Linked DNA regions of Anolis sagrei. The protein of the gene in region 2 purifies or fractionates together with the protein of the main gene of each other region. This does not show direct contact. Links are inferred from orthologs where the notes say so. Each region holds a gene or a part of one and is shown on either strand. Other genes may lie near its edges.

Region 1 (7,462 bases), on a different chromosome or scaffold from region 2:
CCCCCCCCCATTAAATGGATTATCCTTCTCTGTCTAGCATGTCCTTTTGGCCTCCACCAGATAATGGAACAGTCTCCAAAATGGTCCAATTGGTTTACTGTGAGAATTTGCTTAAGCAGAAAAGGATTCCAATCAAAGATTTCCCACTGCATCATAGAGTCTCACTGACCAAAGCGCAATCCTGACACACCAAGAACATCCATTTTAAAGAGTTTGTAGACCTAATCACATGAGTGAAATTCCATGTGTTGGATCAAGCGTCAATGGCCACATTTCAAAAATGAGTTTCAGTTTTCCATGCCTAAAAGCCTGACTGCCCTTGCTTCCACATTAGCAACAAGACTGACATGGATGCAAATTTTGCAAGAAGGAAAACAGCTTAAGTTTGGAAACCACATTCCTCTCTGTTTTGCCGCCAGGATGCATATATAAAACCATAGCAAACAATCCGGTTTATTCGAGCTATTTTGTTTTTGCTTTTTTTGGGAGGGGGGATAGTTGAAAGTTCCCTGAGCACAAATTAGTTGATTCTACTGCAAAATGATTCTACTGGCAGACTTTGCTGAGACTAGAACTCCATTATATGGTTACTGTAAACCATATAATGCAGTACAATGCATTTAAACTGAACTATATGGTCTATATCTGGCATGGGCAAACTTTGGCCTTCCAGGTGTTTTGGACTTCACTTCTCACGATTCCTGGCCTCAGGCCCTTTCCTTTTCGCTTAATTGGCTGAGGGGGGAAAGGTAAGGGCCTGAGGCTAGGAATTGTGGGAACTGAAGTCCAAAACACCTGGAGGGACAAAGTTTGCCCATGCCTTATCTACACTGTAGAATTAACGCAGTTTGACATTACATTATCTGCCACAGTACTATGAAATAGTGGAGGTTTGGCGAGGCACCAGCACCCCTTGGCAGAGAAGGCTAAAGACCTTGTAAAACTACAACTCTCAGGGCTCCATTGCATTTAGCCATGGGAGTTAAGCTTGCCCATGCCTGGTCTATATATATTGATCACATAATGCAGCTTGAAACTGCATTATATGGTCAGTGTAGATTCAGCCTAAGTCTTGACCAGCAAAAGTCAGCTGAAATAGACGCCATTGTGTAGAAGAAAAATGAAATGAAGGAATGAGGATACATATTAAATGCACTTCAGCAATGGCACATCTCATAAGTGAGACAGAAAATAATAATAATAATAATAATAATAATAATAATAAGCCAGTAAAGGTGGTCCCAGTGGTGATCGGCACACTGGGTGCAGTGCCTAAAGACCTTGGCCTGCACTTAAAAACAATCAGCTCAGACAAAATTACCATCTGTCAAATGTAAAAGGTCACCCTACTCGAAGTTGCACATATTATTCACCGATACATCACACAGTCCTAGACACTTGGAAAGTGTCTGATGTGTGATCCAATTCAACAGCCAGCAGAGTATCTGCTGTGGGCTCATCTCGTTGTGTTTCAAATAATAATAAGAAGTATAATATCTCACTTTCCTCCCTTAAAGGAGACTCAAAGCAGTTAGGAATTGCCCCTTGATGGGAAATGGAAGAAAATGTTGAGTTGGATCTATCTTCTTACTGTTGTGAGCTTTGCATGTGAATGACAGAAAATGTAAATGCCAAAAAATCAGTGTAAATATAATTTTAAACATACAGCCTAACTTGAAACCTCATGGAATAAAATATTTAACATTTGGTGCAGATGTCCAATTTTAAGAGCAGCTCTTAACCAATCTCTTTTTGGTTTTTGAGTGAGTGAAAATTGCTCATTGATTAATTTCATAATACTTTAATGAAAAATGTAAGATCTCCCCTTTAATAGTCTGATGTAAAGTTTGCATGATTAGCAAAATGATGTCTTTTCCTTTGCATTTTTCCTGCTGTCTAGTTCTCAACAGGAAAGTCTAAAGCTGAATCTTACCCCTTCTTGGCCCCTTGCATTCGCTCCAGGTTTTCTCTCTAACTCAGAAATATTTGAAAAGACAACAGAGAGAAACATGGCATGTGCATTGTGCTAAAACTAAACTGGAGCTGATCCGCAACAGGCCTTGGAAGAATGCGGATAACATCCATCCATAATGATCTAGTGGGTTGAATTGGAGAATGCAAACACACATACAGTTTAAATACTCGCTTTCTGCCAATCTTGAGGCAATGGGGTTGTACATGTGGCTTTTTCTGCAAACCCAGCTCTGTTAAAAAAAAATGCTCACAAAAGCAGTTCTGAAAAATTAATGGAATTCCTCCCATTCCTCCTAAAAGCAGAAATATTGGACCAAGCACAAATTTGCAGAGTGAAACACCAGTTTCCTACAATAAAAAGCATGCAATTTCAGGCAGTTAATGTACAAATAAATCAGTGTAGCAAAACAGTTTCATTGCTGCCAATTTGCAAGCACAAACAGATTATTTGAGGAGTATAGGCAATGTTGGTGCCAGCTTTATCTTCCTTTGATGAACCAGCCCCAAAGCAATATTTGATAACTCACCAAGACTTGTCCAGTTGGAACTCCCATTCCAGAAATGCCCGCCAAAATGAAGGCCATCATTCCATTGTTTCCAATGCTACAACTCCCTTCCTCAAGGCAGCTGGAAAAAAGGAAGAGAGAGAAACCATACTGCAACACTGATGATGATTCCTGGGGCGTTTGTATTATATTTCCTTGCTTGTTTCGAATGACAGAAAAAAAGTATTCCAAAATCCAGGGTATCCACAGATGTTTTCTGGAGTTTCAAAGTTTTGACTCACATCCATAAAAGTCCTGACTGGTGTGGAGGAGACACAAATACAATTAGGAAGGCAGCAGGAAGGAAAGTCTACCCATGTGAGCAGAAAAACTCCTAGGTTGGGGGCAGGGAAGAGAAGGCCACTCACTGGACACCCCTTGGGCTGATAGAAGAGATTTCAGGAAATCCAAACACTCAAACAGGAAATCTGAACGCTGGATAAACATTCCATAATCTCCACTGTTAACATGCAACCTCTCTGGTTAACCCTTTTCCTGCTCTGGGGCTGGACGTGAAACTCAACCAGACATGCTTTTGTGTAACTGGATCTCTCTAACGTTTCACAATGCGCTCGCCTGTGTCTCTAAGGCATGACACCAGTCAGGAAGCATTTCTTCCCCCAAGCATCTGGAAGGGGTTTCCCACTCCTCTATTGTTCTCCCAGTTCTACCTGGCAAAGTCGTGGTTAAAAGAGTGACAATTTTTCTGTAGTTAATATTTTCCATTGGGCACGCAGGCTTGCAAGGCTGCTCCGATTTGCAGCAGGAAAAAGGAGCAGTGGATGATTTATTGGCTCTGTTGCGTTCACCTTGCTCCCTCCCCTCCCCAGTCAATGATTCCATTTTGCTCTGTTTCCATTTAATAATTCTCCCGCTCCCACCGTGGCTTCTCTTTGCAGGCTTTTGCATCTCATTTGCACAGCCTGAAATATTAATTTCAGAGGCTCGGTGGATGATTTATTTGATGATCATTGCGGCCCACTCTGTTGAATAAGAAGAGTCCCAGAAAGAAAACAGACACTATTTTAAAATGGGCATTATCCCCCCTCCCTCTTCTCTTTAAATATTCACTTCCTAAGGATTCAGAGAGGAAAACGTGAGCCTCATTTTTATCCTCCCAGCAACCTGATTAAGTTTGTAGGAAGCGACTGTTCCACAGGCATCTAGTGAGTTTCGCAGCCACAAATCAAACTAGACATTATACCAGGAGATCTGCAGTCAGCCTCACATTAACTATATTTATTTGATGGAATACAGTCTAATCTACTCTCAAGCTCTACTTTATGTTGAGACATTCATGACTGTCCATCCAGCTTTTAAGAAATCCAGCTGTGAGGTGGGCTCTGTATGCAAATCGAAGGGCAATGTCTCAATTCTCCCTTCATGCTGTGATTTTTCTGATCTAACTGCTGCCCTATTAAATAGTTTTTCATTCTCTGGGGGAAATGCTCCAATACGCACATGAACATCTGCCCTGTGCCGCCACCCCCCCCCCCAATTCACAGCCCTAGGACCACAAATACCAAAGAAATCATGAAAATGTGACAATACAAAGATTTGAAAGCATTTCAGCAATTATAGGATTATAGGAAAGACTCATAGATTTGTACTTATTGGAAGGGGCCTCATAGGCCATGGAGTCCATCCACACTCCCAAATGCAGAAACTGCAGCTAGACCCTCTTCAACAGCTTTCAAATTAGCAGTTCTTTAACTTACTCCATCCAATTCTTTTTTCAAAAACAGTTGGGACATTGCCAATTAATCTTTTGGTGCAATGTGTAGGAATGTGGTTTGTCAGCCTCAACAAGAATGTAAGAATGCAAGACAAGCTTTGCTGGATCATCCTCTCGATGCCAGCATCCACTTTTTACCATCCATCAAACAACCTTGAGAAACCCTCAGGGCTGGGCTACTATTGGGCAGAGCAAGGTGGCTGTTTCAAGCATCATATTTTAGGTGACCTGAAAGGTGCTTGAGGCCCTTTATATTTCAGTGGCACAAAAAAAAAAAAAACCTAACAAAACAAAACTAAAAACTGTCTTTGGAGTAATCTGGTTGTGGCTGTTAGTGGTTTTCTTGTTAGTAAGACAATAAATTTGTTTTGGGTTTTAATCTAAATGTAAGTGAGCTATATTCAAGGTGGTGAACATATTGAGAGGAAGGATGGGGTTCAGCACCTTGGATAGCTCCATTCCCTCTGAAATGTTAAAGTAACGCAGTTACTTTACATCAAGAGTTCTTTCTCCACCCTGGACATTCCACAGATATATAAACATCACTTGCCTAGTTTCCAACAGACCTCACAACCTCTGAGGATGTCTGCCATAGATGTGGGTGAAACATCAGGAGAGAATGCTTCTGGAACATGGCCATATAGCCTGGAAAACTCACAGCAACTTAACACAGTTGAATAGTTACCTACAAGTTTTTGTTAGCTAATGGGTCTACAACAAAATTACATTTCAAAAGCAACGTGGTGAGTGTAAACAGTAATATAAGTTTGGATGCACAGAATAATGTTTGCTAGTTAGCTTTGGGGCGGGAGGCTATATAATCAGAAATTATTGAATTCTTCACTTTACCTCCTAAGCAATTGATGGAGTTTGAAGGATGAGTGTACATGTTGATGGAACCCACCAGCTGTATTGACATAGCTCACCCTGTGGAATTTGATTTGGTGGAATCAAACCTGGATAAGCCAATGGGTCCTAATGAGAGCTTCTCGATTGAACCCTGTCATCTACTTGGAGATGCAACCAATGCAAAGCCATTACTCAGCAAAATAGGGGGGTGTTGAAAAGAGATTGTCTTTACTTGCAGATGTCAAGGCAAACAGAGAAGAAAAAATCCAATGCCTCTTGCAAAGGTTTGAACAGGAATTGTGTAACAATTCACCACCTGATGTGTCAAAGTCAAGCAGCCATAAATCTCCTGAATATAGCTGGATATGCTTCCTAATTCTATAACCAGAGTTTGACAAATCATAGAGAAAGGAAGCACAACAAGGATGGGAAAAACTAACTTGTGAGCAATATTTTGTCCCTGGTTTCCTGTTTAAGGCTAGAAAGCACTCGTGTGACCACATCTACAGTCAAAATGAATTGTTTGAAGCAAATCATGACAGTTCCAGGGCTTACACAGGGTTACAAGTAGAGAGGTGGCCCCAGGCAGTCAGAGGCCATCATGAACAGAATTGAAAGCTAAGAAGGGAGTTGCCAGAGAGATTAGTCCAAAAGTATACACCAAAGGTTAGAGATCTACAAAGCTAGAGATGTCAGCCAATGTCATATGGAGGCTTTGGAGCTGTTGTCTGCAGCAACAGAAGGTCTGGGTTGAGTTAATTTATAGTCAGCAGCTATTTGGCCCAGCTGGCCTCATTATCGCAGTGTCCTATATTTAAAGCGGAGCAGGGCTGCTACCTGACCCTTTGTCCCCTGTGCTCTGATTTATGACTCATGATAGGATGAAGGGCCTCTGTCTCTTCCTCCTGATCTGTGGCTGCTGCCTGGGAGGGGGCAAGGTCCGCGTCTCTTGGTGCCATGCTAGGATCACCAGTCTCTTCCAGCTCAATTTCAATGTCATGCCAGGAAAGCCTCCAGATAGGACTGGATTCTCGAGTTTTAGTCTGTGACCCTTGCAGCATTCTCCCCCTTTTCAGACCCAAGGACCCTAAAAGACATTTTTTTCCAGTTCCCAAACATACATCCCAAGATGTGGTGGTTTGGGTTCCCTTGTCTTCCATTGCCTCCACCCATGAAACAGCACTGTTTTCTACACAAAAGCTTGGACCAACATTGATGTTGCATTGGTTCTAGTTGTGCCAAGACTGACATAGAGGGATGGTGATGGAGGCAAAGGAGAGAAATGGCACCCATACCCTTCAAAGGTAGGCACTCTTAAATTTTGAGAGAAAAAATATTTTTTTTAAAAAAACCCTACTTTTTGGCATGTTGTCTTTTCAAGTCAGTTTCCAAATTTTTGCATTGGGCTATGTTTTGAGTCACCAGACCAATTAAAAATTATGCTTTTTTATTCATGTAAAATCATTATCTATATCTTCTACTGATTAATCCTCTCCAACTTATTTTCTACCACACCTAGATTTGTGGGAGGGCATATATGTCTCATGGGCCTAATCTGACCCCTTGCGAGTCCAGAGTTGGCCATTGAAGATGTCCTCATTCCTCAACCTGAAACCTATCCAGATATGTGGAGTGAATGCATCATCCCCAAATTCCATTGTTTTCTGGGGATGCTGGGAGCTATAGTCCAATATCTCAGATTCAGGGAGGCTGTAGGAGAGCATTAAGGAATGATGAGAAAGATAAAAAAACCCATAAGATTTCTTTCCCGTACTTAGCATTTCAAACAAGCATCACCCTGCCCTTGGAATACTGGGGGAGGACACACTAGCTGGTTGTTCTTATTGGTGCTGGTTGTGTGTGTTTTCCTGTTTGTACAGGACATGCTTCAGGGCCCCAGCGCTTTTCAAAACAACACACGCTATAACCAATGTCACCAGATTGCAGCAGCTGTCCAACTGTGCAGAGCCACGCAGCATAATAGTTCAGGAACAGGAGCGGAAAAGACAAAAGCCAAAGGAAACAGCAGGATAGTTAACATAATTACTCAGAATGAAAATGTATCTAATCCTCTCACATTAAGACGCCTGCTTTTTGCAGGGAAAATGTTGAATATTTAGTGGGTACAAATATTCATCCTTTTGAAGGGAAAGGTTGTTTTGTTTGCAGTGCAGGAAGAAAACCAGAGTGGAACTCTCAATGCCATCTGGCTGGCTATCTAAAAGAAAACTGGCCGGTCTATTTCCGGTTTTCTAGCCGTTCATTCTTTTTAATCTCTGCCAATAAGGGATTAAAGTGTGATCATGTTTACTTCACAGGATGATCATCGGTATTGTAGATATCTTTAAATATGAGTCGG
Region 2 (7,929 bases):
CTGTAGCTAGAATGGAGATGGCAACTTATCTTGATAAGGATGAAATTGGAAAAAGTGTGTGTGGCAGTGGTTTCCTTAACCTTGGAGTACTACACTGCTTGTTCATGTGGGGCAAGCAAAGCTGAGAAGGACACCTGTCAGATTCTCAGCGAATGAAAGTGACTGGAGAAGAGTTGGGGGACATGTTTCTGTGTAGGGTCTCCATAGTTTGTGTGCAGGGGTGCTCTATATGTGTGTGTGTAAGTAAAGGCTCTGTGTGTGTAGGGGGCTGCCTATGTGTTGTTGTTCTCTTTGTGTATGTGTGTGTAAGGTATCTGTGTGCGTTTAGGGCAGGCATGAGCAGACTTGGGCCCTCCAGGTGTTTGGACTTCAGCTCCGACAATTCCTAACATTAGGAATTGTGGGAGTTGAAGTCCAAAACATCTGGACAGCCCAAGTTTGCCCATGATTGGTTTAAGGGCTCAGTATGCAGGTAGATGTGTATGAGTCAAGGTTTTGTGTGTCGTGTTATGTCATGTGTATGGGGGTCCATGTGTGCATGAGTAGAGTATGTAAGGACTGTGTGTGTTTGGTGTAGTAGAGCAGGCATGGAGCAAACTTGGGCCTTCCACGTATTTTGGACTTCAACTCCCACAATTCCTAATGTGGGAGTTGAAGTCCAAAACACCTGAAGGGCCCAAGTTTGCCCATGCTTGGTTTAGTGGCTCAGTATGCGGGTAGATGTGTGTGAGTTAAGGCTCTGTGTGTTGTTGGTTTGGGGGGGGGGGGTCTCTATTTATGTCTTGAGTTGAAGCTGTGTATGGGCTGGTGTGTGGCTATTTGTATATCCATAGGTGTATGTACATGTATATAATATGTGTGAGTAGGGACTCCATGTCTGTAATGTTGTGTATGTGTGTTTTGGGGGGTGTCCCTATGTCTTGAGTTGAAGCTGTGTATGGGCTTGTGTGTGGCTGTTGTTTGTATATCCATAGGTGTATGCATATGTATATAATATGTGTGAGTAGGGACTCCATGTCTGTAGTGTTGTGTATGTGTGTTATTTTTTGAGGGGTGTCTCTATTTATGTCTTGAGTTGAAGCTGTGTATGGGCTTGTGTGTATTTGTATATCCATAGGGGTATGCATATGTATATAATATATGTGAGTAGGGACTCCATGTCTGTAGTGTTGTGTATGTGTGTTATTTGGGGGGGGGGGTCTCTATTTATGTCTTGAGTTGAAACTGTGTATAGGCTTGTGTGTGGCTGTTGTTTGTATATCCATAAGTGTATGTATAGGTATATAATGTGTGAGTAGGGACTCCATGTCTGTAGTGTTGTGTGTGTTATTTCTTTTTTGGGGGGTCTCTATTCATGTCTTGAGTTGAAGCTGTGTATGGGCTTGTGTGTGGCTGTTAGTATATCCATAGTGTTGTGTATGTGTGTTTTGGGGGGGTGTCTCTATTTATGTCTTGAGTTGAAACTGTGTATGGGCTTGTGTGTGTCTGTTGTTAGTATATCCATAGTGTTGTGTATGTGTGTTTTGGGGGGTGTCTCTATTTATGTCTTGAGTTGAAGCTGTGTTGTTTGTATATCCATAATGTTGTGTATGTGTGTTTTGGGGGATGTCTCTATTTATGTCTTGAATTGAAGCTGTGTATGGGCTATGTGTATGGCTGTTGTTTGTATATCCATAGGTGTATGTATATAATATGTGTGAGTAGGGACTCCATGTCTGTAGTGTTGTGTATGTGTGTTATTTTTGAGGGTGTTTCTATTTATGTCTTGAATTGAAGCTGTGTATGGGCTATGTGTGTGGCTGTTGTTTGTATATCCATAGGTGTATGTATATAATATGTGTGAGTAGGAACTCCATGTCTGTAGTGTTGTGTATGTGTGTTATTTTTGAGGGTGTTTCTATTTATGTCTTGAGTTGAAGCTGTGTATGGGCTTGTGTGTGGCTATTTGTATATCCATAGGTGTGTGTATATGTATTTAATATGTGTGAGTAGGGACTCCATGTCTGTAGTGTTGTGTATGTGTGTTATTTGGGGGGGGGGATCTCTATTTATGTCTTGAGTTGAAGCTTTGTATGGGCTTGTGTGTGGCTGTTGTTTGTATATCCATAGGTGTGTGTATATGTATATAATATGTGTGAGTAAGGATTCCATGTCTGTAGTGTTGTGTATGTGTGTTATTTGGGGGGGATCTCTATTTATGTCTAGAGTTGAAGCTGTGTATGGGCTTGTGTGTGGCTGTTGTTAGTATATCCATAGTGTTGTGTATGTGTGTTTTGGGGGGTGTCTCTATTTATGTCTTGAGTTGAAGCTCTGTTGTTTGTATATCCATAATGTTGTGTATGTGTGTTTTGGGGGGTGTCTCTATTTATGTCTTGCATTGAAGCTGTGTATGGGCTTGTGTGTGGCTGTTGTTTGTATATCCATAGGTGTATGCATATGTATATAATATGTGTGAGTAGGGACTCCATGTCTGTAATGTTGTGTATGTGTGTTTTGGGGAGGGGGTCTCTATTTATGTCTTGAATTGAAGCTGTGTATAGGCTTGTGTGTGGCTGTTGTTTGTATATCCATAGGTGTGTGTATATGTATTTAATATGTGTGAGTAGGGACTCCATGCCTGTAGTGTTGTGTATGTGTGTTACTTGGGGGGGGGGGGTCTCTATGTCTTGAGTTGAACAGCTTGTGTGTGGCTGTTGTTTGTATATCCATAGGTGTATGTATATGTATATACTATGTGTGAGTAGGGACTCCACGTCTGTAGTGTTGTGTGTGTGTGTGTTTTGGGGGGGGGTCTCCCTATGTGTGGGTTATGTGTGTAGCTTGGCAGAGCCCCCTCCCTCTCCCCAAGCTCTCCAGATAAATAAATAGAAGGAAGGAAGGGCCCCCTAGAAACCGCCTTTTCGCCTCAAGGCCCCCCCCCCTCCTTCCAACCGCCCTCTCCCCTCTCACCAAGGAAACGTCTCCTTCTGCGCCCAGCTCGCGCTGCCTGCCTGCTTCCTTGCTCGCTTGCTTCCTTCTCCTCGGGCCACGCCCCCTTCGCTGCCTCCTTCCTCGCGACCCAGCCCCAAAGCCACGCCCCCCGGAGCCACGCCTCCCCTCCACGAAGCCACGCCTCCCCTTCTCTCGCCCAGAGTCAGCCTCAGGGCACGGCGCGCGCACGCGTGCGGGTGAGAGGCCGCAGAGGTCCACGTCACGTGACGAGGGAGAAGCAAGGTAAGAAGGCGGGAAAAAGGGATCTCTGCAAAAGTACAAAGTACACACAACCAGTTTGGGGAAACCACACACTTAAAATACTTCTAAGCCCTCCCACTACCTCTGAAAGGGGGGGAGGAGGGTTATTCACATTCCTCTGTCATAGCAACGGCCATGGCAACAGGCATTGAAAGCCCTTGGGGAAACTACACACCCCAGAAGCCCATTGGGATGTTGCCATGGCAATTAAAACGGAACCAAATGTACTGTCACACTGTAATGTCATAGAAGCCCTGTATTGTTAGGTTAAACAAACAAACAAAAAACACTCAAGGTGCATCTGATATAATAACATAATGTAGTATAATATATTATATATACAATTATTATATTGTAATGCAATTCAATGTAATAATAATATGATATAATTATATATTTTATATTACATGTAATATTGCTAATAATATTACAATATAATGGTATAGTACAATATAGTAATATATAATACTGATATTGTATTATGCTTTATTTATTTATCATGTCATCAGCAACCATACCATTATATTGCATTTCTAACAGAACAAAACAAACAAGCAGATAAAAAAACCCACAAATTTTGCAAACTTGGTAGTTGATTAAATGTCCTTTGACCAGTATCTGGCCACTTGGAGTGCCTCTGGTGTTGCCGCAAGAAGGTCCTCCATTTTGCATGTGGCAGGGCTCAGGGTGCATTGCAGCAGGTGGTCGGTGGTTTGCTCTTCTCCACACTCGCATGTCGTGGATTCCACTTTGTAGCCCTATTTCTTAAGATTGGCTCTGCAATTCGTGGTGCCAGAGTGCAGTCTGTTCAGCGCCTTCCAAGTCGCCCAGTCTTCTGTGTGCTCAGGGGGAGTCTCTGATTTGGTATCGCCCACAGATTGAGGTGCTGGGTTTGAACCTGCCACTTTTGGACTCTCACTTGCTGAGGTGTTCCCGCAAGTGTCTCTGTAGATCTTAGAAAACTATTTCTTGATTTAAGTCGTTGACGTGCTGGCTGATACCCAAACAAGGAATGAGCTGGAGATGTCTCTGCCTTGGTCCTTTCACTATTGGCTGCTACTTCCTGGCGGATGTCAGGTGGTGCAATACCGGCTAAGCAGTGTAGTTTCTCCAGTGGTGTAGGGCGCAGACACCCCGTGATAATGTGGCATGTCTCATTAAGAGCCACATCTACTATTTTAGCGTGGTGAGATGTGTTCCACACTGGGCATGCGTACTCAGCAGCAGAGTAGCATAGCACAAGGGCAGATGTCTTCACTGTGCCTGGTTGTGATCCCCAGGTTGTGCGAGTCAGCTTGCGTATGATATTGTTTCTAGCGTCCACTTTTTGCTTGATGTTCAGGCAGTGCTTTTTGTAGGTCAGAGCACGGTCCAGAGTGACTCCCAAGTATTTGGGTGCGCTGCAATTCTCCAGTGGGACTCCTTCCCAGGTAATCCTCAGAGCTCGGGATGCTTGTCTGTTCTTAAGGTGAAAGGCACATGTCTGTGTTTTAGATGGATTAGGGATTAGTTGGTTTTCCCTGTAATAGGCAGTAAGAGCACCTAGAGCTTCAGAGAGCTTCTGGAAAAAATAGACCCCTGTCTGATTCCACAGCAAGCTGGCTTCAGGAAAGGCAAAAGCTGCACATCGCAAGTGCTGAACCTGACTCAGCACATAGAAGATGGCTTTGAAAGGCAGCAGATCACAGGAGCTGTCTTCATAGACCTGTCAGCAGCTTATGATACTGTGAACCACTGCCTCCTCCTGAGAAAAATGTATAACATCACAAAGGACTATCACCTCACCCGCCTCATAGGAAACCTGCTACAAAACAGGAGCTTTTTTGTTGAGTTCCAGGGCCAGAGAAGCAGATGGCGGAAACAGAAGAACGGCCTGCCTCAGGGGAGCTCCAGCAGGAAGGTAACAGTGCTCCATGCAGTCATGCCAGCCACATGACCTTGGGGGTGTCTACGGGCAACACCGGCTCTTCAGCTTAGAAATGGAGGTGAGCATCATCCCCCAGAGTCTAACACAACTAGCCTTTACCTATACATATGTGTATATATGTGTGCGTGTGTGTATATATACACATGTGTGTCTTTGTATATGTGTGTGTACACATATGTACAGAACATACAGACACCAAATGCATAAAGAATAGAAAGCAAGACCAGAGAAAAATTACATACAAACTATACAGACAGTAATAATTACATGATTAATGCGCGCCATTGGTTCAGGAAACTCACAGATACCAAGAATCTAACAGTAGATATGACAATCAACACCTTTTGTGTGATAAGAAACCATTATCCCAAAGCTCTAGGGATAGCTGGCAACGTCCTACTGAATCTCTCACTTTAGCATCACTTTGCTTTTCAGAACACTTCAATCTGTCACTGATTTTAAACAAACTTCAAAGGTAGATTAGTGAAATTGGGGGGCCCCGAGTTCCAATTCACAGTCTACAAAGCCCATGTTGTGATAAATATGTTCCTAAAGTTTTACTTGAAAGGGATAACCTCCTTGTGTGTGGCTTTTTAATAGACCACGACTATTTTCTCAGTATCCAGGGTGCTGTGATTTGCCTCTTTTGTGCTGATATAAAGTGAATAGTATAATTTAATTCCTTTGCAAGTGAGTCAGAAGAACGCTGCCTGATTTTCCCTGAGCTGATGCATGTGTGGGGGTGTTTTGCCACATTAAGCCGCAAGTGAGAAATTCATGTGCCGGATGCCTTCCTGTGCAAAACTTTTGTCCCCCGCACGTCCTCTCCAAATGTGAAGGATCAAGAGGATCTCCTCTTGATGTAATCCAAACTGGCTCATAGGGGGGATTTATATTGGCTCACAATCTTGAACACGTTGAGGCTTGATGCAGCCAGTTTAAATCAGTCCTTATTCTGGACTATATCCAAGCTATAGAAAAAGATATAAATTTCTCCATAGCCTTCCCTTGATCTTTCAATGCCTCTTTATAGAAATTCAATGATCGTTTGGGATGTTTGTTGCAAAAGGTCCAGGTCTGGAAAGGTTTGGCTGAACTGCAAAAGCTCCTGTCTGAAACCTTGGAGAGCTTTCTCCTTCACCTTCTCCTCCTCCGACATATGGAATGTCTGATATAAATCTGATATAAATCAGCTTCCTCTTATACTTCCTAGCTATCTAATTTGGAGCATATCCTCATTAGGAACAGAAGATTGACTCTTATCTATATAATAGTATGATCTACTGTATATAAATGATGGCACAGATTCATCTACACCAGTGTCACAGGGGTCACCAAAGACCATCAAAAAATACAGTATTTTCTGTTGGTCATGGGGGGTTCTGTGTGGGATGTTTGGCTCAGTTCTATCATTGGTGAGGTTCAGAATGCTTTTGAATGTAGGTGAATGATAAATCCCATCAACTACAACTCCCAAGTGTCAAGGTCTATTTTCCCCCAACTCCACTAGTATTCAAATTTAGGCGTATCAGGTATTTGTGCCAGATTTGGTCCAGTGAATGTAAATACATCCTGCATATCAGATATTTACATGACGATTCATAACATTAGCAAAATGACAGTTATGAAGTAGCAACGCAAATAATTTTATGGTTGGGGGTCACCACAACATGAGGAACTGTATTAAGGGGTCGAGGCATTAGGAAGGTTGAGAAACACTGATCTACACTGTAGAATCAATGCAGTTTGACACCACTATTCAATACTAGGAAATAATGGGAGTTTAGTTTGGTGAGGCATCCACCACTCTTTGGCAGAGAAGGCTAAGGACCTTGTGAAACTACATGTCTTACCATTCCTTAGCATTTTATTTATTTATCGTGTCAGGGGCAGACCAAACAGTTGCATTGCATTTTTTAACAAACAAACAAACAAAACGCAAAGTTTGCAAGCTTGGTAGTTGATTAAATGTCCTTTGACCAGTAGCTGGCCACTTGGAGTGCCTCTGGTGTTGCTGCTAGAAGGTCCTCCATTGTGCATGTGGCAGGGCTTAAGATGCATTATGGTAAGTGGTCTGTGGTTTGCTCTTCTCCACGCTCACATATCGTGGGCTCCACTTTGTAGCGCCATTTCTTAAGATTGGCTCTGTACCTCGTGATACTAGAGAGCAGTCTGTTCAGTGCCTTCCAGGTCGCCCAATCTTCTGTGTGCCCAGGAGGGAGTTTCTCACTGATCTCAACCACTGATTAAGGTGCAGGGTTTTAACCTGCTACTTTTGGACTCTAGCTTGCTGAGGTGTTCCTGTGAGTATCTCTTTCGATCTTAGGAAGCTGTTTCTTGATTTCAGCTGTCGGCATCTTCGCTGATATCTGAACAGAGGATGGACCAGAGATGTCACTACCTTCGTCCTTTCATTATTGGCTGCTACTTCCTGATTGATGTCAGGTGGTGCAATGCCAGCTAAACAGTATAATTTCTCCAGTAGTGTGGGATGTAAACATAGTGTGATAACGCAGCATGTCTCATTAAGAGCCACATTCACCATTTTAACGTGGTGCGATGTATTCCATACTGTTGTTGTTTATTCATTCAGTCAGTCGCTTCTGACTCTTTGTGACCTCATGGACCAGCCCACGCCAGAGCTCCCTGTTGGCCGTTGCCACCCCCAGCTCATTCAATGTCAAGTCAGTGACTTCAAGAATACCATCCCTCCTTCTTGTCCTTTGTCAGCCCTTCTTCCTTTTTCCTTCCATTTTCCCTAGCATTATTTT
Region 3 (6,998 bases), on a different chromosome or scaffold from region 2:
TGTCACCAATTTCATCAATTCTTGTCAAAAGAATTTCATCCCCCAAATCTGGAGACAATATCCAAAGGAGAGTAAGTTATCCACTGGATTCCCTACCATGTAAGTTACATAAACCAAGACTGAGCTGCTGCTCCCAAAAATCCTGCCTGATTCTAACATTACTACCATCCTATGGATGGACAAAAATATATATAAAGCCAGATTTTTTAAACATCTAAACCATTATAACTGTTGCTTAAGAATTTGTATCACATTTTTTTTAGTTGAGTCTGACAACACAATAAATTATTTCCATTAACTTTACTTTGCTCTTCCCTAACAATGAATGAAGTGTTGTTTACTTGACATTTACAACAAAAATACTGAAATCTCTATGTCAATATTTTCTAATATTCTACAAAATGATTTCAGCATTGAGGCTGCGGTGGAGCAACAGGTTAAACTGCCGAGCTGCTGAACTTACTGACTGGAAGGTTGCGGTTCGAATCCTCAGGATGGGGCGACCTCCCATTGTTAGACCCAGTTTCTTCTAGCCTAGCACTTAGAAAACGTGCAAATGTGAGTAGATCAATAGGTACCACCTCCGCAGGAAGGTAAACAGTGCTCCATGCAGTCATGCCAGCCACATGACCTAGGAGGTATCTATGGACAATGCCTCCTAGGCTTAGAAATGAAGATGAGCATCACTCACCCCCCCCCCCCCCCCCAGAGCTGGGAGGGGAAGCCTTTACCTTTATCTGTGTTTCTTTGTCATGTTTCTATGCATTGAATGTTTGCCTTTGTGTTTGTGTATGCTGGAATCCACCCTGAGTGCCCTTGGGGACATAGGGCGGAATACAAATAAGTCGTTGTTGTTGTTGTTGTTGTTAGAATTAGCATTAGCATTAAGAATTTATGCTGTGCAGTATGGTACCAGTTATATTTGGATATTTTTTAAGCTGACAAATAAATGTTGCTTTGGGAAAATGTTAAGGGTTTAAATCTCTTGGGAAAATACAAAAAACTTTATCAATTGGCGGAGAAATCAAACACAGATTAATGTACCGTAGTATCTGCAGTGCAACTGCTGTGATGGTGAGCCATATGGACCACTTCAGATTTGTTTTCTACAATCTGCTAGTATATGCTATTGCTGCAGCAAAAGCTATCCAGAGCTTAATCCACACTGCTTTGAATTGCAACTAAAAAAGATAAGGTTTTCTAATTATACACTTCCGCAGCATGAGTGTCTATGGTGAAGCTGCAGTTAACAACTGAATCAGAAAAGGGGAGCGGACTGTGATTTGGGGATCCCAAACTATGGGAGGAAAACTTGCAGTCCACCCCCACCTTCAAATAAACTGATTTTATTTGTACAGTGCCTAGCACTTTAGACACTTAATATAATGGGCTATGATACAAAGCACTACATATCCATGCTTAGAGATAGGCTTTCCAGCTCATAATTCTCCAGATAAGATATTACCCCTAAAGCTCTGTTAAATTTGTGGCTCCGGGGACATGAGACCTAAAGGAACATGAACAAAAACACATGCTATAGGTACATGCAAGCAATAGAAGTACTGTAAATTATTATTCATCATTATTTTATTTATACCCCACTTTGCCCCAGGCTCAAGAAGCAAGATGGATTATAGGAATTCAAATGTATAAAGATAAAAGCTCACATCACACTTATACAGACAACCTGGGTTCATTTTAACTGAGCATCGCAGAAGAGAAACAACACCTTGCTTCAGTTTTGAGTATATCCTTGTTCTGCAGTAAATTGCTTTTTAAAAATCCATGCCTTTAATCATCTAGGCCATCAAGATTTGCTTTAATGAGTACATATATATCTTTATTTGGTTTCTGTGAGTTTTCTGGGATATATGGCCATGTTCCAGAAGCATTCTCTCCTGACCTTTTGCCCTTATCTATGGCAGGCATCCTCAGAAGTTGTGAGGTCTGTTGGAAACTAGGCAAGTATCTGTATTGTTTAATTTATGCTACAGTGACTTGCCATTCTGAAGCACACAGAAATGCAGCATTTCTTAGAAAAGATACTGTAATGAAGAAAGTAAGCTTTTTGGTCAAGCTGGCTCTCAGGCCACAGCAGCTATTGCTGAGTTGGATCTAAACAATTTGCATCATTCTGCGTCTGCTCAGTGATCATAAATATTTTTCAATGGCAGTCAGACTTCCCATTCATTCCTAATAACATGATTCTAGACTGCCGATGTGTAACATATGTGCATTGTATTCCCACCTCCATCACAGAAACTGGAAGGGAAGGAGACACTGGCTGTAAAGACATTAATGGAGCATTGAAGCATTTTTGCTGTGTATGTGTGTAATGCAAAAAATATAATAGGCTTTTTGTAAGGGGTGGGAGGACCCTAAGCCAATTCAAATTACTTTTATTCAGCAATGTGAGCATCTTTCCAGATTCTAGCCCCATCATTAAATGTGCGAGCATCAGAAAAAAGTAATCAAGGAGCAATCCGTTACATTCCTACTTGATCTGCCCTTGCTCCAAGTCTGCATGGGCTTATCTACTAAGTTCCTTGTTTTTAAAAAGTTTACACAGAGGCTTAAAAGCTATTACTGACAATTCCTCCCATTTATCCCAGCCACCCATTTGCCAGCCAAGAACACCACAAATACACACCAGCAAGAAAACTACGTGCAGTTCCTGCAGCTTCCCAATTAACCATTTCTCCCATTTGCAGGCAATGCCCACAGCTCCCTTGCACACGGTTTCACAGAGTCAATATTTGTTTTTACAATTATTCATTTACCCAATGTGTGACTTACCCTGGATGCTGCCAAAGATTTGCATGTCGAACCACAGGTAACAATTCCCTCTTATTGAGAGGGGTGATCCCAATTGCAGCTTCAAGAATGGTGATGTACTTCTTGTACTTCATCCTGCCTCTTTCAATGCACCGCTGAAAAAAGCTACCACCTGCTTCTGGATGCAGCATTGGAAAGCATCTGGCCCCAGCAACCTGACTGAACTACAGTGCTGTTTTTCAAAATGTGTAACACACATTGCAAGCTGGGAGTTATAAAAATAACTTTTGGGAAAAGAGTTATAAAAAAAACCCCAAACAGATTCCTGACAGATTCCCCTGAAACGTCATGGTTACATAATTCCAGCGATCTTTGAATAAAGCACTAATGAAAATGAGTCAAGAGACAATCAAGGTCTAAGCCCGCCTGATAATGTACACTCTCCAATTTACTAATCCTTTGCTAAATCTCCAAGGCTTATAATCTTCCAAGTACTAATGGAGTAGCAGGTGACTCGTCTCTCAAATCAAGTAAAGGGCTGCTAAAGATTTGTTCGCTAAACTTTATATAGTGCAGAATGCAAAACATCCTATTTTCTCAATTTTTGGGAGCCGCACTGATCATATCATAAAAATCAATAATAAAGGGAGAACAAAAGGAAGCAATACGTAAAAAAGAAAAACACAAACTTTGCAGGGACAGGAAAACTGAGACCTACATTGATCTGGACATAATTGAGAGAAACAATTTCATTCATTTGTAGTGGACCTTGTAAATACGAATAGATACTCTCTTGCTTGGCCATAATAAAAGGTAACTGTTTCCTTTAACATTAAGTCTAGTTGTGTCCAACTGGGAGGTGGTGCTCATCTCTATCTGGCATTGTCCATAGGCACCTCCAAGGTCGTGCGGCTAGCATGACTACGTGGAGTGCTGTTACCTTCCCACAGAAGTGGTACCTATTGATCTATTCACATTTGGATGTTTTTGAACTGCTAGAATGACAGAAGCTGGGACTAACAGAGGGAGCTCACCCCACTCCCCAGATTTGAACTGACAATAATAATAATAATAATAATAATCTGTATTTGTATCCTGCCACCATCTCCCCAAACGGGGACTCGGAGCGGCTCACATGAGGCCAAGCCCAAGCAACAAATTACAATAAAACAATAAAGTACAAAGCATATAAATACAATAACCAATATACACAAAACATAAAGCAATAAACAACATAATGACAGTAAAAATGGTTTAAAAACTCAGGGTGAGATAAAAGGGGCAGATTATTTGCATAGGGGAACTCATAGAGACACAGTGTAATAAACATACCTTTGTACAAGGGGGGGGGGTACTCTTAGGTCAAAATGTTGAGGGGGGCAATAGCTAAAGCTTGTGTGGCTACTCTCCAAAAGCGCAGCGGCACAGCCAGGTCTTGAGATTCTTTTTAAAGGTTTCTAAGGTAGGGGCTTTCCTAAGCTCACCGGGCAGTGAGTTCCAGAGTCAGGGAGCCACAGAGGAGAAGGCTCTTCTCCTTGTACCCTCAAGGTAAGCCTAAGAAACTGGCAAGGGTGAAAGGAGGGCATCCCCCGAAGATTGAAGAGCTTGATCTGGTTCATGGAGAGAGATACGGTCACGATGGTAGGTGGGTCCCAAACCGTTTAGGGCTTTATAGGTAAGAACCTGCACCTTGAATTGAGACCAGAAAATGAATGGCAGCCAATGAAGCTCCTTAAACAGGTGGGTTGACCACTCCCTGTAAGTTGCCCCAGTTATTAATTTGGCTGCCAAGCATTGGACAAGTTGTAATTTCTGGGCTGTCTTCAAGGGTAGCCCCACATAGAGTGCATTGCAGTAATCCAGTCTAGAGGCAACTAAGGCATGGACCACCATGGTCAAGTCAGAGGTAGAGGGTGTGACCTAAGCCCGGTGACCAGAGAGCGGATCAATAGATCTACAAACACCTTTCTAAAAATGATGCCCAGTGTTTTATCAAGTGAGAACAGCTCCTCCGCTAGCAGTCTGTCTTCCAATGAGATGAGAAGACATGTAGAATGGTCCCAGGATAAAGCCAGTCAATGGTTTTGATTTTCACTTCTGACCGGCTTACAGATAGAATTTGGGATAGAGAGATCTGGACCGCTCTCTTTGATGTCCATTTGCCTCCGTTCCATAATGAGTCTGAAATTTCCCCAGCCAAGTTATTAGTCCTCAGCAGATGTTGACAATGGTGTGGAGTGTCCAAAGTTTGTTCAACAGACTCAGTTGTGAACTTATTTTCTATGTTGTGCAAGACAAAGTTTGTCTGATCCGTCCTCCCCCCTTCCTCTAAAAGCCTCAATTCCTGACCTATTATCTACTTTCTGCCCCTCAAACCTATTTCTCTCCTGGCCTTTCGTTGCAGCTACATCCTCAACAAAATTTGTCAACACAGCGGGTTCAGCAGCTCAGCAGTTTAATCTGCTGCACCACCAGGGGACAATAATAGGCAAGAAAATATCTGGTTATTCCACTCACAAAAAGAACCAGCACATATAAAGACGTTTTGTGGACTAACAATATTATTTATTTGCTTTGCTGTAAGCTCAGGGTCAGCTCTACAATTAGGCAAAGTGAATATGCCAGCTCAGGAAACAGATTTAAGATATCACAACAGCCCTCAAAATATGTAATTATTAATGTATATCTTCTGTTGGAGGCAGGGAGATATGTTTTTGCACCACATGTACCAAACAATATGGTAGGCATTATGACTTGGGTTAATCAAGAGGTACTGTATGATGTTTTGCCTAAAGTCAGCCTTGTAGTGAGTGGAAAACATTACACCCTCCACATCAAGCACCAATAAGGTCCCCTCAAACTATTTGAATGCATATACACTGTAGAATGAATGCAGTTTGACACCACTTTAACTGCTATGGTTCACTGCTGTTGTATTCTGGTGAGGCACTACTACTCTTTGGCAGCAAAGACTAAAGACCTTGTACAACTACAACTCCCATGATTCCATCACATTGAGCCATAATTATTAAGGTATTACCAAATTGCATTCATTCTACAGTATAGATGCACCTAACATTCTGTGGATCTATTATTTTAATTCAGTAACACTTCCTATGGTAGATGGGGAGTTGATATGGGTTTGTGGGCCGCATTTTCTCTACCTTTTATTTATAACAGAGGAGCCCCCGGTGTCGCAATGGGCTAAATCCTTGTGCCGGCAGGACTGATAACTGGCAGGTCAGCAGTTCAAATCAAGGGAGAATGGGTTGAGCTCCCTCTGTCAGCTCTGGCTCCTCATGGAGGGACAGAAGAGAATCCTCCCACAAGGATGGTAAAACATCCGGGCGTCCCATGGGCAACGTCCTTGCAGATGGCCATTTCTCACACATCAGAAGCAACTTGCAGTTTCTCAAGTAACTCCTGGCATGAAAAAAATTACATCAGAGATGGGTAGCTGTGTTCCCCAAGTATGTTTGGCCATAATTCTCACGAGCAATAAACAGCATAGTTAATAATGAGAAATTGGGGGACATGAAGTCCAGAAACATCTGTAGAACCTCATCTATAGCTATCCTTAATGCCAAAGAGGCCCATGTAGTAGAATCAGTGTTCTATATATTTTGTATTTATTAACAAATACTTTTCCCTGTTGTAGACTAAATTACTCCCAAACCCATATTGTACAATTAAAGTGTTCAAAATGGGTGAAAATCAGCTGGTAATAAGAAGGGGAGAAATGCTGACAGGGAAGTGCATGACAAAAACAAAAGCAATTAGTTCTGGAATTTACTCATATTTTCTGTTAATCTTGTGAAGAATTTGCAGGTTTCTTTTAATCTTTGTGATCTGCTCAAGACATTGGACAACATTTGTCACACTGGATTATTCACAACATCATTAAGAAAGAAGAGAGAGAATATGCAACAATGTTCCTTTCCTTCAACCCCAGATATATTGTTCAAAACTTTTCTTGTGCCCGTATTCAGCCCATGGGTTTGCCAACCAGTAGGGTGTTTCCATAGGTTTCATATGCCCCACAGACTCTCATTATGACTTGAAGCATGATTCTTGTACACAATCTAGTCGCCTGTCTAACTGGCAAAATTAAAAAAGAACTACAAGTGAGTTCCTTTTTTCAGTATTGCAACGTTATTTCATTGTTGATAAAATGAACACAGGGAAGCAGAAATTATTCTCTTATCTTCCATTTACCTTCAAAA

The links.
Region 1: the proteins of ARHGAP12 (region 2) and ASAP1 purify together in Homo sapiens (co-immunoprecipitation; 3 studies listed by BioGRID and IntAct, with this or other methods). This does not show direct contact. The link is inferred for Anolis sagrei from reciprocal best matches to the Homo sapiens genes ARHGAP12 and ASAP1.
Region 3: the proteins of ARHGAP12 (region 2) and TJP2 purify together in Homo sapiens (co-immunoprecipitation; 3 studies listed by BioGRID and IntAct, with this or other methods). This does not show direct contact. The link is inferred for Anolis sagrei from reciprocal best matches to the Homo sapiens genes ARHGAP12 and TJP2.

Annotation. Positions count from the first base shown.
Region 1 is NC_090024.1:16,990,362-16,997,823, reverse strand, and holds the start of ASAP1 (arf-GAP with SH3 domain, ANK repeat and PH domain-containing protein 1), read right to left. Parts: upstream 3,036-7,462; 5' UTR 2,502-3,035; intron 1-2,501. UniProt on the Homo sapiens protein: Possesses phosphatidylinositol 4,5-bisphosphate-dependent GTPase-activating protein activity for ARF1 (ADP ribosylation factor 1) and ARF5 and a lesser activity towards ARF6.
Region 2 is NC_090026.1:112,231,441-112,239,369, forward strand, and holds the start of ARHGAP12 (rho GTPase-activating protein 12), read right to left. Parts: upstream 3,034-7,929; 5' UTR 2,950-3,033; intron 1-2,949. UniProt on the Homo sapiens protein: GTPase activator for the Rho-type GTPases by converting them to an inactive GDP-bound state.
Region 3 is NC_090022.1:221,775,692-221,782,689, reverse strand, and holds the start of TJP2 (tight junction protein ZO-2), read right to left. Parts: upstream 3,046-6,998; 5' UTR 2,967-3,045; coding exon 2,797-2,966; intron 1-2,796. UniProt on the Homo sapiens protein: Plays a role in tight junctions and adherens junctions. Acts as a positive regulator of RANKL-induced osteoclast differentiation, potentially via mediating downstream transcriptional activity.